Linked DNA regions of Tamandua tetradactyla. The protein of the gene in region 2 interacts with the protein of the main gene of each other region in a biochemical or structural test. Links are inferred from orthologs where the notes say so. Each region holds a gene or a part of one and is shown on either strand. Other genes may lie near its edges.

Region 1 (7,262 bases), on a different chromosome or scaffold from region 2:
ATTTGGTGGTGATGTCTCTTTGGTCTCTTTTAATACAGGTCATGCCCCATCCTGCCTTCTTTTTTTTTTAGGACAGCAACTTTTATAAGTGCCCAGGCTAATTATCTTGTAGAACATCCCCCACTGAGACCTTGTAGTGCCATTTAACTTATTCCTCTAATCCCTGCATTTCTTATAATTGGAAGGTAGTTATAGAGGAGGGGTTGGCAAACTTTTTCTGTAAAGGCCAGAGACTTAATACTTTTGGCTTTGCAAACCTTATAGTCACATTGCAACTACCTATTGTATCAGTATGTATCAGCATAACGGCAGCAATACCCAATGTGTAAATGGAGCATGACTATGTTCCAATAAAACTTTATTTATGCACACTGAAATCTGAATTCATCATAATTCGAACATGTCACGAAATAGTATTCTTCTTTTGAATTTTTTGCAATGATTTAAAAACGTTAAAGCCGTTCTTAGCTCATGGGTTGTTCAAAAACAGGCAGCCGGATAGATTTAGCCTGTAGTTTGCCAACTCCTGGTCAGAGACTTGATTGGATTTAGGCTAAATATTTATGGCAAGAATTTTCCATGGTAATATTGTGGGCTTCACAGCCATCATATGAGGAGGCACATACTGCCGATTGAGCACCAGCTGTGGGGTATCCACCAGGTCTCTCTATTGAAAAGGAACATTTTCTTCTTTACAAATAGCAAGTCATCTGTGTGGTATTACTTGGGCACTGTGAGAACATTCTGTTCCTTAAAGCCTTTCACCTGTGGTTTCAGCATCATTGACGATTCTTGTCTAAATCAATTATTTCACTGGGTTTGCAGAATTGAGTTTTTCAAATTCTATCTTTGGTAGGAAGCATTCTTCTACAAAGAACCTTCCATTATCAAGGAGGAATGAACCACCATTCCGCCTGAAAAAGGCAGGATAAATGCTTACTTTTCTAAGGGAAGGTTTCTTGTTTTGTTATTTTTGTTTTAAGTGAGAGATTCTAGTCTAGAACATGTTCATATGTTGAGCAGGTAATTCCATGGAGAGGGACAAGTGGATGGTGCAGGAGAGGTGATTACAGAAGGCATGAAGTCTTCAAGAAGGTGAGAGGGTTTAGAATCCAAGTGGAGAAGAAGTTGGGGAACATAAGAAAGGGTGTGAACTGTTCATCTGGGGAGAGATATAGGGACAGCTTACTAAGAGGAGTTCAGTTTAGGCTGTGACTTAATGAACCTGTCTCCCTGGGGTGTGATTTTCTCCTCCACACTGAGAGAAGTTGAATGGCAGGATTCCTGCAGGCCTGGAGTTTTCCAAGCAAGTTCAGTAGAGGCAGGAAGAGACAAGGAAAGACAAAATATTTGCAAAGGAAGACTGTAAAGACTGATGATGGAATCTAAGCTGGTTAAAAATAGGAGAGTGATGGCCTGATGGGAAAATGAATGGAAGATTCCAATGGGCTTGTGAGCTTTGGTTTTTGGTTTTGGTATCAGTTGTCAGATTTCTGTTAAAGGAGCATGTAATTATGGGGAATGATAGGAGACTTTGGCCAGAGAGTAGGGCGTTTGAACAGGCCACTCCTGTAGCCTCTTTGCACTGTATCCACCCATATTCTGTGCAAACAGGGAGCGTCTGAGGCCAAGGAATGAACCATATTCATATCTAAGCTTCCAACGCTCAGAAAAAGGCCTGACCCAGAATAGGTTTGAGTGAAGGTTTGAGGTCTGATCAATTGAATAAATGATAGCAAGCACATATATGTACTGAGCACTAGTCTAACACTTAGTGAATTCTCCCAAGACTCCTATAATGTGGGTTCTACTATTATCTCCATTTTACAGATGAGAAAACTGAGGCACAGAAAGGTGAAATAACTTCTCTAAGTTCACAGAGCTAGCAAGAGGCAGAGTTCACCTACAGCTGGGCAGTCTGGGCCCAGAGTCTATGTTTCTCACCACTAGGTTACTCTGAATGGATGGATGAGGGTCAGAGAATCCTCCTGTCCCTATTTCAAATGGTACAGATGTGTCCGGACGTCAGAGCCCTGATCTGGGCAAGGGAAGTTCAGGGACGGGAGGAGGTGGCCTAACCCCAGGAGACATCAGACAATAAGTAATAAGCAGAAATACATAATTCCAATCGCCATGAAGGAGACAAACAGGGTGCTGAGACCAAGAATGGAGGTGGCAGATCCTTAGATGGAGTCATCAGGGATGGCTTCTCTGAGGAGGTGACACTTTAGATAAAGGACAGAAAGGAGCCGGTATTATGAAGAGCAAGGAGAAGCATGTCTCAGAAAGTGGAAACAGCATGAGAGAAGGTTTTGAAGCTCAATGTAGTCTAGGAACTACACAGTGTAGCTGGAGAGGGAGCTGGCCCAAGGTGGGACTGGAGAGGTGGGCAGAGACCAGACAGAACCTGGGAAGCCGTGGGAAGGAGTTTAAGTTTAATTAAAATAAAAAAAAATTTATTGATATATAGTCACACACCAAATTTAATTATTTTTATCATTGTTTTATTTCATTTTTGTTATTCCAAGACAAATGGGAGATAAGCTATTGGAGGGACTATTTAATATTTGAGCAAGGGACTGAAGGTACATCTTACCTTCAATTATTTGCTCTTTCATTGGGCTTTCATCTGTTCACCCATTAATTCCTTTGTTCCTTGATGGATTCATGCATTCCTATGTCCAGAGAGCCTGCTGCTCTGGGCCAGCCACCGCATGGGCACTGGGGGCGCTGGAAAGAGCCAGACCCAGTCCTTGCCCTTGAGGAAAACACATCCCCACACATCCATTCCCCAAGAACTAGTCATACATACTGGTAGAAGGCACTGAGTGCCCTGTTGGAGAGGGGAACCGGAATCAGGGAAGGCCTCCTGGGGAGGCGCCTGTGAGTTAGACCTTGGAGGATGACAGAAGTAAATGAGAGCAACTGGGGGCTCTCCCAGGAGCAGGGACCAGTGTCTTTCACCGGTGCTCCCTAAGGCTGGCACCTGCCAGGGAATGCTAAATGTTTGTTAACTGAACATGTGGACCAAAGGCCAGCCAGGGAGTGCTGGATGGTGGAGATGATGCTGGCCAGCCAGCGCGAGACCACCCTTCCGAAGCCCCTGCCCCCCCACCCCAACCAGCTCCCTTGTGTCATCTTCCCCATCCCTCCTCCCGTTTCCCTACGAGAAAAGTACACCTACCTGCATCCCACTACTCTCTGCCACTCTGTGAGAACCCATCGCACAGACATCTGAGCCCACCCCCTCTCAGGCTTCTGAACCCTCCCCTGCCCGTACACAGAAACACACGATTCCGAAGAATACGCCCTGCGGTTGGTTCCAAAACTGCATCCATCGTGTTCATTGCCTACAATTGTACACACACGCATGCACATGCATATGCACATATACACGCTTCTGTGTTTACACACCCTCCCTTCCTTCCCACTGCATCCCAACACGTGCACACTTCTCCATCAAACAACCCTCCTCCCCATACATCTTCCTCCCCACCGGAAGAATTTTTTTCTAGGCCTTAGTTTAAGACTAAGGAAGTAACAGCTGTGGGAAGGGGAATTGACCCCCAAGTTGAGGAGGGGTCAGCGATCCCTACCAGCCTCAAAGGCTGATAGAAGATGGTCTCTGTTTCTCTAAGACTTGGGCAAGGGGAGGGCTGACACCCTTCCTCCTTCATTGTGACCCGAAGGCAAATTTTCTCTGAAATGTAGTTTCCCCAGGGAAGGTTCTTGGTCTACTCCCCAACCTCCCGCATCCCTGTGCCCCAGTGCCCAGGGCCCTGAAGGAGGCAAGGCAGGTGATGGACTCACAATGGCTCTTACATTTCCAGGTCAACTGGCTGTGAAAGTTTGGGTCAGACCTGTCTCCATCTGGGCCTCAATGGACAGAGAGGGCAGTGGGTTCAGTGATAGAGAAAAGTGCTTTCTAACCTCAAATCTAATGATTCTAAGAAAGCAGGTGCCTTGCGGGGGGGGGGGGGGGGGGGAGGGGTTCTTTGGGAAGGTGGTACTGGGGGCTTAGGCGGGGTGTGGGGTGGGGGACAGGGCTGGGGTGCTGGGAGAGGGCTGGGAGGGCCGATCCCTGGTCACCCCGGGGAGGTGGGAAGTGGGGCCGGGCGAGCCTAGGATCTGAGGGCCCCTTCCCCCCCCCCCCCCCCCCCCCCGCGCGGGCAGCTGGTTCGAGGCCGGGGCGTGACTGAGAGCTGTCCCCGCCGCCGCCGCCACCGCTGCGAGAAGAGAAGTCCGAAGCGGCTTCCTCCTCCCAGCCAGAGCCCGCGGCCGGCAGAGGCAAGCAGGACCCGGGTTCCGCCCCCGCGTCGGCCTCGCTGCGGCCGGGAGCCCCGCTGGATCGCCCCGGGGACGGGCACAGGTAGGCAGGTGGGGGGCTGGGAGGCGCAGCGCCGTGCCCCGCCCCCGGCCCGGCCCGGCCCGGCGACAGGGGCCTGGGGGAGCGAGCCTGGGAGCCTTAGGGTGGACAGCTGAAGAGACTTGGACCAAGAGGCTCCCGCTCAGAGAAGGGTCTGGGAAGAACTCAGGAGACCTGGAGAGTGAGACTGGATGCAAGTTGTGGAGGGGAACAGGGGAGGATTAAGAGGGTTCCCCAAAAAGGTCTGCTGGGGAAAGGGAAGGGGACCTGTGGAGTAAGTTTGATCGAAATTGGAAAAAGGGCTAAGAGAGTCGGGGCATGGGGAGTAAGGGGACCTCCCCAAAAATGGTCTGGAGGAGAACTGAAGGGACCTTGAGAGTGAGAATTTGTGGGGAAACTGAGGAGTCTAGGGAAGGGGAGCTAGGCGGGGGGACTGGAAGGGTCAGGTGAGGCAGTTTGCAGGAAAGAAGGGTCAAGGAGAACCATTTCTGGGGGACTCAGAATGTATGACGCAATTGTGGGGGCCCAGGAGATCCCCGATCGCCAACTGACAGAAGCCCGGGGTGAAGCCTGTGGCTTGGGGGGGGGTGGGGGGGCAGGCGGCCAGGAACGAAGCTCCCCCTCCCCCTAGACTCTCCCTCCCCGCCGGGTGGGAGGACCCGGGCCAGCGAGGAGACGCCTCTAGGCTCTAGAGGCGCGGGTCCCCTCTTCCTGGGGAAGTCCCCGCCCTCGGCAAGTCAGGCCTCTCTGGGTACCCGCCCCCCCGCAGTGGCGGGCTCTGTCCGCGTTCCCCTCGGGATCCGGGAATTGCTGGCCGCCCCGACGGAAATCCTGCCTTTGACCGTGATTGCCCGGAGGGGCTGTCTCCATGGCAACGCCAGGGAGGAGAGGCAGAGCCGGGCTCTTGGCAAATGCTGGTCTCCTTACTGGAGCAGCCCCTTCTGTCCTCATCACCTCCTGACTTCTGGGACCCCAGGCAGGGGCCGTTCGCCGGACAGAGGAGTGAGGCCCTGATGCACATCGTTCAGGGATCCTTCAGGGAAAACCTGCAGAGACCTGGGTTCTTAGCTAGTCTGGGCCTTTCTTTCATTGCTGTGTGACTTTGGGCAAGTTACCGGGCTCCTCTGGGCCTCACTTTCTGCATTTGAACAGTGGGGAGAAATGATCTCTGCCCCTATCCCCTATACCTGAATCTGTGTGAATCGGGTACAGAAATCAGTTTGGCTGAGTGTCCTGGGGAGCTTACAGGCCCTCGCTGACCCAGCTAGCCTCTCCTGCGCCTTCTCGACGGCACAGAGGGGGCCAGGAAGCCTGGGTCTCACTGATAGGGCCCCCAGGCACCAGCACACAGTTAGTATCTTATAAATAAGTAAGTGTCTGTGCATGTGTGGAGGGCCCACCGTGCGGAGTCACTGGGGGTGAGATCTGCCCCCACACCCAGCCAGCCTTCCCCTGGGTCATGGAGTCTCTCAGGGATCCCGAGGCCCTTGGCATCCTTCAGTCTGGTGGTGGGTGGGAGAGCAAGGCCCTGTTCCAACTTCACAGATGGGAAGATGGAAATTTGGGAGGCAGCGAACGACAGGGCCAGCCATTGGGAGTGGACTCCAGGGCCTCTTTCGCTTGTGACAAAGGGGTTCCCACCTAATCCCTGCCAAGTCCCATGTAGCCCTCTGGAGAGGGGTAGGGGTGGACACGGGAGTGGGCGCAGGGGGCTGTGTGTATCGGTGCTCTCTCCTGCTTTCCAGGGGGCGAGAAGCTGTGAGTGAGGGCGTGAGGGTGTGAGGGTGTGAATTTGATTCGGGCTCTGAGCAAATGAGCATGAGCATGTGAGTGAGCCCGTGTGGGTGTTTAGGAGTTCTCAGCAGCCACCTGGGGCCAATGAGGCAAAGGAAGTGGTCAGACCCTGGGGGGTGGGCTGAGCAGGAGACCCCAGAGTTGGGGAAGGAGGTGCCAGGGTCCTTCCTGAACAGAGCGGACAGGGAAGGGTGCCCCCCCCCCCCCCCAGGACTCGCAAGGGGACTTCCTTTCTGGCCACAATGTGGAATCTAAACTCTCATCTCCTCAGCTTCCCCAGAACATCCATGGGCTCCCATCTCCTGTGAATTCTGAGTCCCAGGCCAGGTGGGAGCTGAACTCAGACTCCTGTTTTAGAGGCTGGTGGGTTTTCAGAGACAGATGGGAAACCACTTTTACTCCCAAGTAGAGAAAACTCAGCTGGTACCTTCAGGACCATGTGGAGGAAAAAGCTGGTGTGGCACGTATCTGCCACCCCCACTCCCCACCCCCATCACATGCACCTGGCCCCACTAGGGTAGTAAAGTCAGAGTAGGGCCTTTCTGCTAGGGCCCGTGAGTGTTTGGGGTGGGGTGCCGGTGGGGGTGGGTGCTGTGAGGCCTCCAGAAAAGATAGTGTTCAATAAGAGGGATGGAGGTTCAGTGAGAGGTGGCGACCTTAATAAGAGGGATAAGGGCTCAGAAAGGGCCTGGGGTTCAGTGAGGAGTGGTGAGAGAACCCTTCCTTCATCAGGTCAGGTCTTAGTGAGGGGTGGGGCACAGAGGGGCTGGGGGTGGCCTGCAGATCTTAGAATTGCTTCCTGCCCCTCCAACCCTGGCCTGCCTCCTGCCCAGCCCAGAACCCTGAGGAGAAGCCGGAACTCTTGCAGGATGGTGGTTTCCTGCCACTGCCCCAAGTCCCAGTTCCCTTTTGGTGAAATCCCCCAGGCAGCTAAGCCAACTCAGCCCTCCCCACTGCACCCTGGGAACTTCTCTTTCTTCTCAGCCCGGCCCCACAGGCCATCCCCTCCACCCTGCCTTGGAGGGGTCTTGTTTAGGGAAAGGAAGGGAAGTAAAAGTTCATTGAGCACCTATGTGGGGCCTGGTACTTTCAGAGGCTTGGC
Region 2 (6,933 bases):
GAAGTCCTGGTCTAGCAGCTGTCCATTCCTGTGGGGAGGGGAAGGTCAGGAGTGCTGATTCCACCCCCACCCCCTATCATTTGTCCCACTTCTTAGGACTTCTTGGGATCCTTCCCACTACCCTGACCCTTCAGGTCTAACACAGGTCTATCAGGCCCCTAGTTTCTACTGGTTTCTTGATTGCTATAGTCTTCCTATCAACTCCCCAGCATTGCCTTTCTTCTCATATGGAGCCCTCTGACTTGAGCCCAGTCCTGTGGCTCCCTGCTCTAGAGAGCCCACAGTCCCAGCTCCCTGAGGCTCCACTCTTCTGGACCTTGCTATACAGGGCAGTGTCTGAACTGTGGCCTGTAGTGCCACTATCCAATTCAGTACCAAGTTCAGGGAAGGCTGGGCGCTGGGACTTGGGAGCTGGGAGGGGCTTGGTGCTCCGAGGGGGTGGCACAGCATAGTCGTCAGTGGCAGGGTTGTAAGGGAGTTCATAGCCCTCCTCCTTCACCCGAGCCTGGCACCACCAGGCATCCTTGGGCTCCTGCGGCAGGTCATAAAGGCCCCGGGGAGGAGCTGGGGCCAGGCCCTCAGGTTCATCATAGATGGGGTCCTCTCTGGGGTCCCTCAGCTTGGCCTTCAGCAACTGCTGCTGCGCATGCTCGTACAAGTCCCAGTAGAGGGTAGGTTTCTTCAGCTGTACCCCCTCCCTAGCACAAGCAAGGGTGCTGTCCAGGGGGTCTGAGTATAAGGAGTCCCGGGAAGGGCCTGGAGGAATGCGCAGGGAGTCCATGGGCTCAGCGTACAGGGCTGGGGGGCCTCCCAGGAGCTCCTTGGGACCAGGAGGGGAAGCCAGCTGCCCCCCTGTCCCCTCTCCTTCATGGGAATCAGTACTCAGAACATCGTGCCCCTGGCCAGCCCTTCCCTGGGCCTTCTGCTGATGGATGGCGGTCTCAACTGCCTGAAAAATGTCATTTCCCTGTGCCGTCTGGAAGGTGAAGGTTCCAGGGCCAGAGGGGCAGCGGCGGCCGGCCTCAAAAGAGAACATAACCTGAAGAGGGTATGGAGAGAAGCACATCATCAGAGTCTCAGGGCCTGAAGTAGCTAGAGAATCAAAGAGACTACCTGGGGAGGGAGTGGACTCAAGGGGTAGGCCAGGTAGGAGGAGCCCAAGGGGCAGAGTTTCCCTCCTTCCAGTCCTGCCCCATCCCATCCTCAGCTGGGGAACCCCAGAAGCCCTTCCCCATAGCCCCCTCCCCGCCCCCACCTTGTCTCGACCATAGCGACGGAGCAGAGTGTAAGGCCAGGAAAGGAGCGGCTCCAGGCTCTGGCTCCCAGACCTCAGGGTCAAGAGAGTCAGCTTCTCAGCCTCAGCCCTCAGCACATAGGAGCCGTGCAGGCCACAGCGCTCTGCAGCCTCAGTCCTCTGCACAGTCACCCAGAACTGGGATCCTGAAAGGAAGAGCCATTAGATTCAAGGGGCACCTGGTCAGAACTGGGGGTTGGGGGGCTGGTGCAGGGAGTGTAGAGACCAGAAAGTATTGGGGAGCACAGTGCCCAAGCACTCACTCCAAGTCAGACTTCCGGGGCTCTCCCCCTTCCCCCTGGGTCCGGGAACCCTCTAATAACCCCTTTCCAAAGTCACCCCTTCTCGCGATCCCATTTTTGCTTCTCAAGCCTCTACCTTCCCAGGAGGAGCTATACAGAGAGTTCTCCAGCATCTCCAAGGCAGAAAGCTTGGGTAGATTTTCTGCAGGCGTCGGAGCCCAGCTGCCTTTCTGTGTAAAGAAAGAGTGTCCAGGACTCTCCCTAGCGTGGCTCCCGGGGTCTGAGCCAGCTGAGACCTCTGCTGCCGTGACCCTCATCCTGCCCCCCGCCTCACATCGTCCCTTGGGCCCAGGGCCATTCGCCCCAGACCCCTTCCCACTCCCCGGAACCCCTCACCGGAAAGGCGTTTCGGCACAGTGTCTGCACCCAGGCGGCGCTGGACGGCGCGTCAGCTGCCAGCAGGTGGGAGCGCTGCGCGGTGTCCAGGCGGAAGGCGGCGGCGCCGGGCTCAGGGGGGCTCTCCACAGCCACGGGGGCCACGCTCACACACTCCGCCAGACGGATTACCTTGCAGTCCAAGCGGCGCGAGCCCCCCCGGCCACCTCCAGAGCCCGACCCCTTGTGGTCAAAGAACTCGAGCCGGGCTACGCCGTGGGGGCTGGCCGGGTAGAGCACGGCCCAGGTCTTTTTCCACCTCTGCGGAGAAAGCGCGAGACTCTGAGGAGTGCGCTGCTTATCTCGAGCGGCCGCTGGCCGAACGGGAGAGGAGGCACTGGCTCAGCTCTGGGGCTTCCCGACTGGGCAAGAAGTTTCCCTAGGAGATCGCCATTCCGGCTCCCCAGGAAGAGGGAAAGCGTAGCCCGAGACCCGCAGACGCTTCTCCCGAGTGTGCAAAGCAACTTCGGAGGAACGTCGCGGGACTCTCCGGGTCCCCGCGCCGCACTCCAACCCGCTGCCCACCCCTCCCTCCTTCTGGGCCCTCTCGCCCACCTCTAGCCCTGCTGGGGTTTAGCGTCCCCAGCCCCTACTACCTTGGTCCCGAAACGCTGACTCTGCAAAAACAGAGGCCCTTCCATCACCGCCTCGTCCATGGCCCCCGGCGGTTCCTTCCGCGCTTCCTGGCCCCGCCGGCTGGAGGCGGGGAAGAGGCGGGGCCGGACTCGCCCGGGGCGGACCACGCGTGGGGAGGGGGGCGAGAAGCGAGCGGGAAACGGGATCCCCAGAAACACCCGGCGGCCGCCCTACTTCCGGGCCCCAACCCATAGCCCTGGGTGGGTGGGGGACAAGTAGCTCTACCATGAGAAATTTTGCGGTCTCGGGCTGAGCGTAGGAGCTGCGTGTGACGTTATGATCCCCTCATGACATCAGAGTGATGGCGTGACATCACCCCGAAAGTGGCCGCCGGCACCCTGGGGCACAGGAGGGGCCACGGGCATCCTCCCGGTCTCAGTTTCCCTGCCCCGGCCCGACCCTAACCCGGCCCGAGCTGAGCTGTTTACGCTCGGCCGAGCCGGGGCTGGGGGCGGAGGGGCAGGGCCGGGGCTGGAAGGCTTCGAGCCACAGCCCCGAGCCGAGCCGGGCCTCCCGTCGCCACCGGGCTGCTGCCGGGGGCTGTCGGTGGCCCCGTGGCCGCTTGCGTGTCCAGATCCCTGACCGCAGCTACCCGGCGTCCAACCGGCGAGTAAAGAAAGCTTCTTTGAGCCGACCGGGAGGCTGGGGCTGGGGCGCGGCGTCGGCCAGTCCCGCGGGGAGGGGAGAGCCGAGGGAAGCCGAGGCGGGGCCAGCGAGGGAGGAACCCCGGGAGAGGGTGGAATGTAGGCGGGCTCCAGGGGACATGGGCGGGACTAGCGGAGAGGGGGGGGCCTCCCCTGGCCGAGCACTTTTTTTTTTGGAAGTCTTAAGACAGAACCCCGGGACCGGGACTCTTCATCCAGCCCCTAAGGCCCCGCTCAGCCAAAGGTAGGGGGTGTTAAGCTGTCCGCTGAAGGAAGAGGAGTTGAGGATGGAGAGGATGGTGAAGGGACCAGGGAAGAGGAGTGGCGTGGGTTGGAGTCAAGGACAAGCCAACCAACGGAGGGTTTTATTATTATCAAAGGGGAGATACAAGAAAAGTGGAGAGAAGAAGCAGATGGTGGGGGGCAGGGGTTCCAAATAAGGCAGCTGAGAGGGCTCTAAGGCTGGGGGGCTCCTCTGTGAGGCCTTACCCCTGGCCAAAGTCCCCAGAACAAAGCTGTCTTGTTGGGTTGTTTGTCTGGGTTGGGGGAAGCATGCTCTGGGGGCCCCCTGGCTGTGGAGGGTCTGTTCACGGCCCCAGACGGAGAGAGGGCCTTGGCTGCCGTGCAAATCCGCGCCCTGGCCTCTGGTTGCCGGGTGACAGAGAAGGCGGTGTTGGCCGGAGGTTGTGTTGGCTGGAGGCTCCGACCACCCCACCCCATCTCTGCCCTGCGTGAGGCCTGGCCCTCCTGGGCCCCCTGACCTGATGGGACATCTGAGAGCCCATGAGCCTGGGCAGAGGTGCAGAAGTTCCCTGGATGGTCTGGTCTCTGCCCTCCCTGCAACCACATCTTCCCCAGATGGGACTCTGCTCCGCTGCCATTCAAGGGATCTGAGACCAGAGGGTCTCTTGGGCCCCAGTGGCCTGCCTCTCTCCACAATCAATAGGGCTGTCAGTCTGTGTGACTGACGGAATAGGGTCATCTGGGTTCCTCCCACATCTGCTCTTTGGCTCCCCCCTTAACAGCTGCCTGTACCTTTCCCTATTTCTCCCTAACTCCGTGTGCCTAGCTCTCTCCCTGTCACATTCTTTCTGTCTTCACTGTCTCTCTCTTCCGCTGCCTCTTTCTGTTTGTCTCCCTTGCATTCCCACAGTTTCCCTTCATCTCACATCCTGTCTGTCTGGGTCTTCCTCTCTCTGGGTCTCTTGCTCAGACTCCGTCTCTTTATCTTGACCTGTCCCTGACCCTTGGTCTCTAAAAAAACAATCACTCTTTTGACCTCTGGGTCTCTCAAACTGGGGGGTGGGAGCAATGGAGGTGATGATGGCAGAACTAGGGAAAGGCACAGTGGAGCGTTACAACTGATTGTGAAGATTTATTATTTACACGGGGTGGGGGGGGCAGCTGTTTGCTCCCTCTTCCCCTCTCCCTCCATCTGAGTCTCCTAGTCACTCCTCTTTGACTGTGTCTCTGCTTTTATTTAGAGTGTGTCCCTCTTACTGTCTCCCACAGTCCCTGAGCCTCTCTCACCACGGTTTCTCTGTCTCCCTCTTTGGTCTTATTCAGGGTCTGTTTTTCTTTCACGACATCTATCTTTGACTCTGGGCCTCGCTCAGTCTCTGTTTCTCTTCCTCCCTCTCTCTCTCTCTCTTTTTCTGGGGCACGCAGGCCTTCTCTGCCATGCAACCTGTCAGCATCTGGCAGTGGAGCTCATGGGGTCTGCTGCTGTGCCTGCTGTGCTGCTCGTGTCTGGGGTCTCCCTCCCCATCCATGGGTCCCGAGAAACGAGACGGAAGTGAGGGGCTACGGTTCCGGCTGGCTGGCTTCCCCAGGAAGCCCTACGAGGGCCGTGTGGAAATACAGCGTGCCGGCGAGTGGGGCACCATCTGTGATGACGACTTCACACTGCAGGCTGCCCACATCCTCTGCCGGGAGCTGGGCTTCACGGAGGCCACAGGCTGGACCCACAGTGCCAAATATGGCCCTGGAACAGGTGAGCAATGCTTCCAGTGGCCTAAATGCAGGGAGAGGGAGTATCAGATAGCACAGTCACAGAGAGGGACACAGGGAACCAAAAACACCCAATGTCAAGAAAACCTATGGATGACAAGCCAACACAGTCACTTCCCAGGTTCATGTGACTTTAGGTTGTCAGTTGCTTTCTCTGAGCCTCAAATGTCCCAGTTGCAAAGTGACTAAATGATCTCTAAGTTCCTTTCTGCCACAAAAGTGTGTGAGTCTACAAAGCCACATGCCATGGAAGCCCAGATACAGGTAGCCCTGTATTTCAGTACAGCTGGTTCCGTGGGAAGGTGAAAGCCGGCAAATGATGTCTGGATGTCCCAAAGCCAGAAGGGATCACAAATACATACTGCAGCTACAAAATCAGGTTACAAGCCAGAGCTGAAACCAACAAATTGGAACCGAATAAGGACAAACATGAGGCTTAAGACAGGTATGGGGAGGGGGGTTAAGAGCAATTTGAGTGAGACCTGGGAATACCTGGACTGTCTGGGCCCACTGGGATTGATAGGCAGAAGCTAATGCAACCAGCAGCCAATGCCCCAGTACCCACTGGCTAGACCACTTCGGGAATAAAATGTCTACTTGTGAGTGCCACATTTTAAGAGAGACACTAGAAAATGGAAATAACTTTTTTGGCAGCCAAGTTTTAAGGAGGAATAGCTGAAGAAACCAGGGACATTTGGTCTGGAAAGAAAAAGCCTTCAATGACAATTACAAGACGGTTGTCTTCAGTTGAACAGGGCAGTGATGTGACTGAGCGATTTTTCTGGATGGCATCAAAGGACTGAGACCTAGTGGGGGAGTCATCAACAGTCCCAGGAAGTCTCTGATGGGGGTAGCAGCCAGGTGGGGCGGGAGGAGGGTATCCAGCAGAAGCTGAGCAAGCTCTATCAGTGGGTGCGTAGGGGTCTCTGCACACCGGCTGGGACGGACGACCTTTGATGTCCTGTCCAATTCTGAGAGGAAATCAGTGCTGTTCAGTGCGGGGTCCAGCCTGAGAAGAACAAGGGGCAGCATAGTGGCACAGGCAGGGAGGCACGTGGGAGGATGTGTGGCTCCAGTAAAAGGATCTTAGATCTCCAAGCCTCACAGACTGGGCTCAAACACCTGCCCCCATCTACTGGCTGTGTGGTTGGTCTTAAGCAAGTTACCTAACTTGTCTAAACCTCCATTTCCTTATATAAAATGATGATGGTGTCTTCCTGGCAACACGGTTCCTAGAGTGATCATATATGTACAGAACCTAGCAGTGTCTGACACTCACTGGGTACTTGATTAATTGTAGTCATCATTGACCTGGTAAGGACTGATCTGAACTTCACTGTTGACTCAGTTTTTTATTCACCCTACTAATTTCTTGAGTAGGCCCAGATCACCACCAACTCTCTGGCAACTGCGTGCCCCTTGCCTATTTCGTTGCAGGGTTCCCTGTCCCTCCCCCCCCACCCCATCATCTTCAAAGAAAAATAGGATCTTCACAGCCAGGTGGGAAACCCCCAGGCTCAGTATTTCTAATACCCCCACCCCTCCCCCCTGCTATCTCCCTCAGCCTCTCTCAGTCCCTTCATCTCCCCTACTACAGGCCGCATCTGGCTGGACAACCTAAATTGCAGAGGGACAGAGCAGAGTGTGACTGAATGTGCCTCCCGGGGCTGGG

Evidence for each region. The genes of interacting proteins can lie anywhere in the genome.
Region 1: the proteins of DOK1 (region 2) and FGR form a complex in vitro, tested with the Homo sapiens proteins (2 studies listed by BioGRID, with this or other methods). The link is inferred for Tamandua tetradactyla from reciprocal best matches to the Homo sapiens genes DOK1 and FGR.

Annotation. Positions count from the first base shown.
Region 1 is NC_135328.1:198,649,084-198,656,345, forward strand, and holds the start of FGR (tyrosine-protein kinase Fgr), read left to right. Parts: upstream 1-4,189; 5' UTR 4,190-4,369; intron 4,370-4,450; exon of another isoform or gene 4,451-4,547; intron 4,548-7,262. UniProt on the Homo sapiens protein: Non-receptor tyrosine-protein kinase that transmits signals from cell surface receptors devoid of kinase activity and contributes to the regulation of immune responses, including neutrophil, monocyte, macrophage and mast cell functions, cytoskeleton remodeling in response to extracellular stimuli, phagocytosis, cell adhesion and migration.
Region 2 is NC_135343.1:48,440,653-48,447,585, reverse strand, and holds the start of DOK1 (docking protein 1), read right to left. Parts: upstream 3,096-6,933; 5' UTR 2,628-3,095; coding exon 2,568-2,627; intron 2,233-2,567; coding exon 1,933-2,232; intron 1,767-1,932; coding exon 1,673-1,766; intron 1,441-1,672; coding exon 1,256-1,440; intron 1,040-1,255; coding exon 224-1,039; 3' UTR 1-223. Other genes in the region: LOXL3 (lysyl oxidase homolog 3), read left to right, coding at 4,932-5,244, 6,859-6,933. UniProt on the Homo sapiens protein: DOK proteins are enzymatically inert adaptor or scaffolding proteins. They provide a docking platform for the assembly of multimolecular signaling complexes. DOK1 appears to be a negative regulator of the insulin signaling pathway.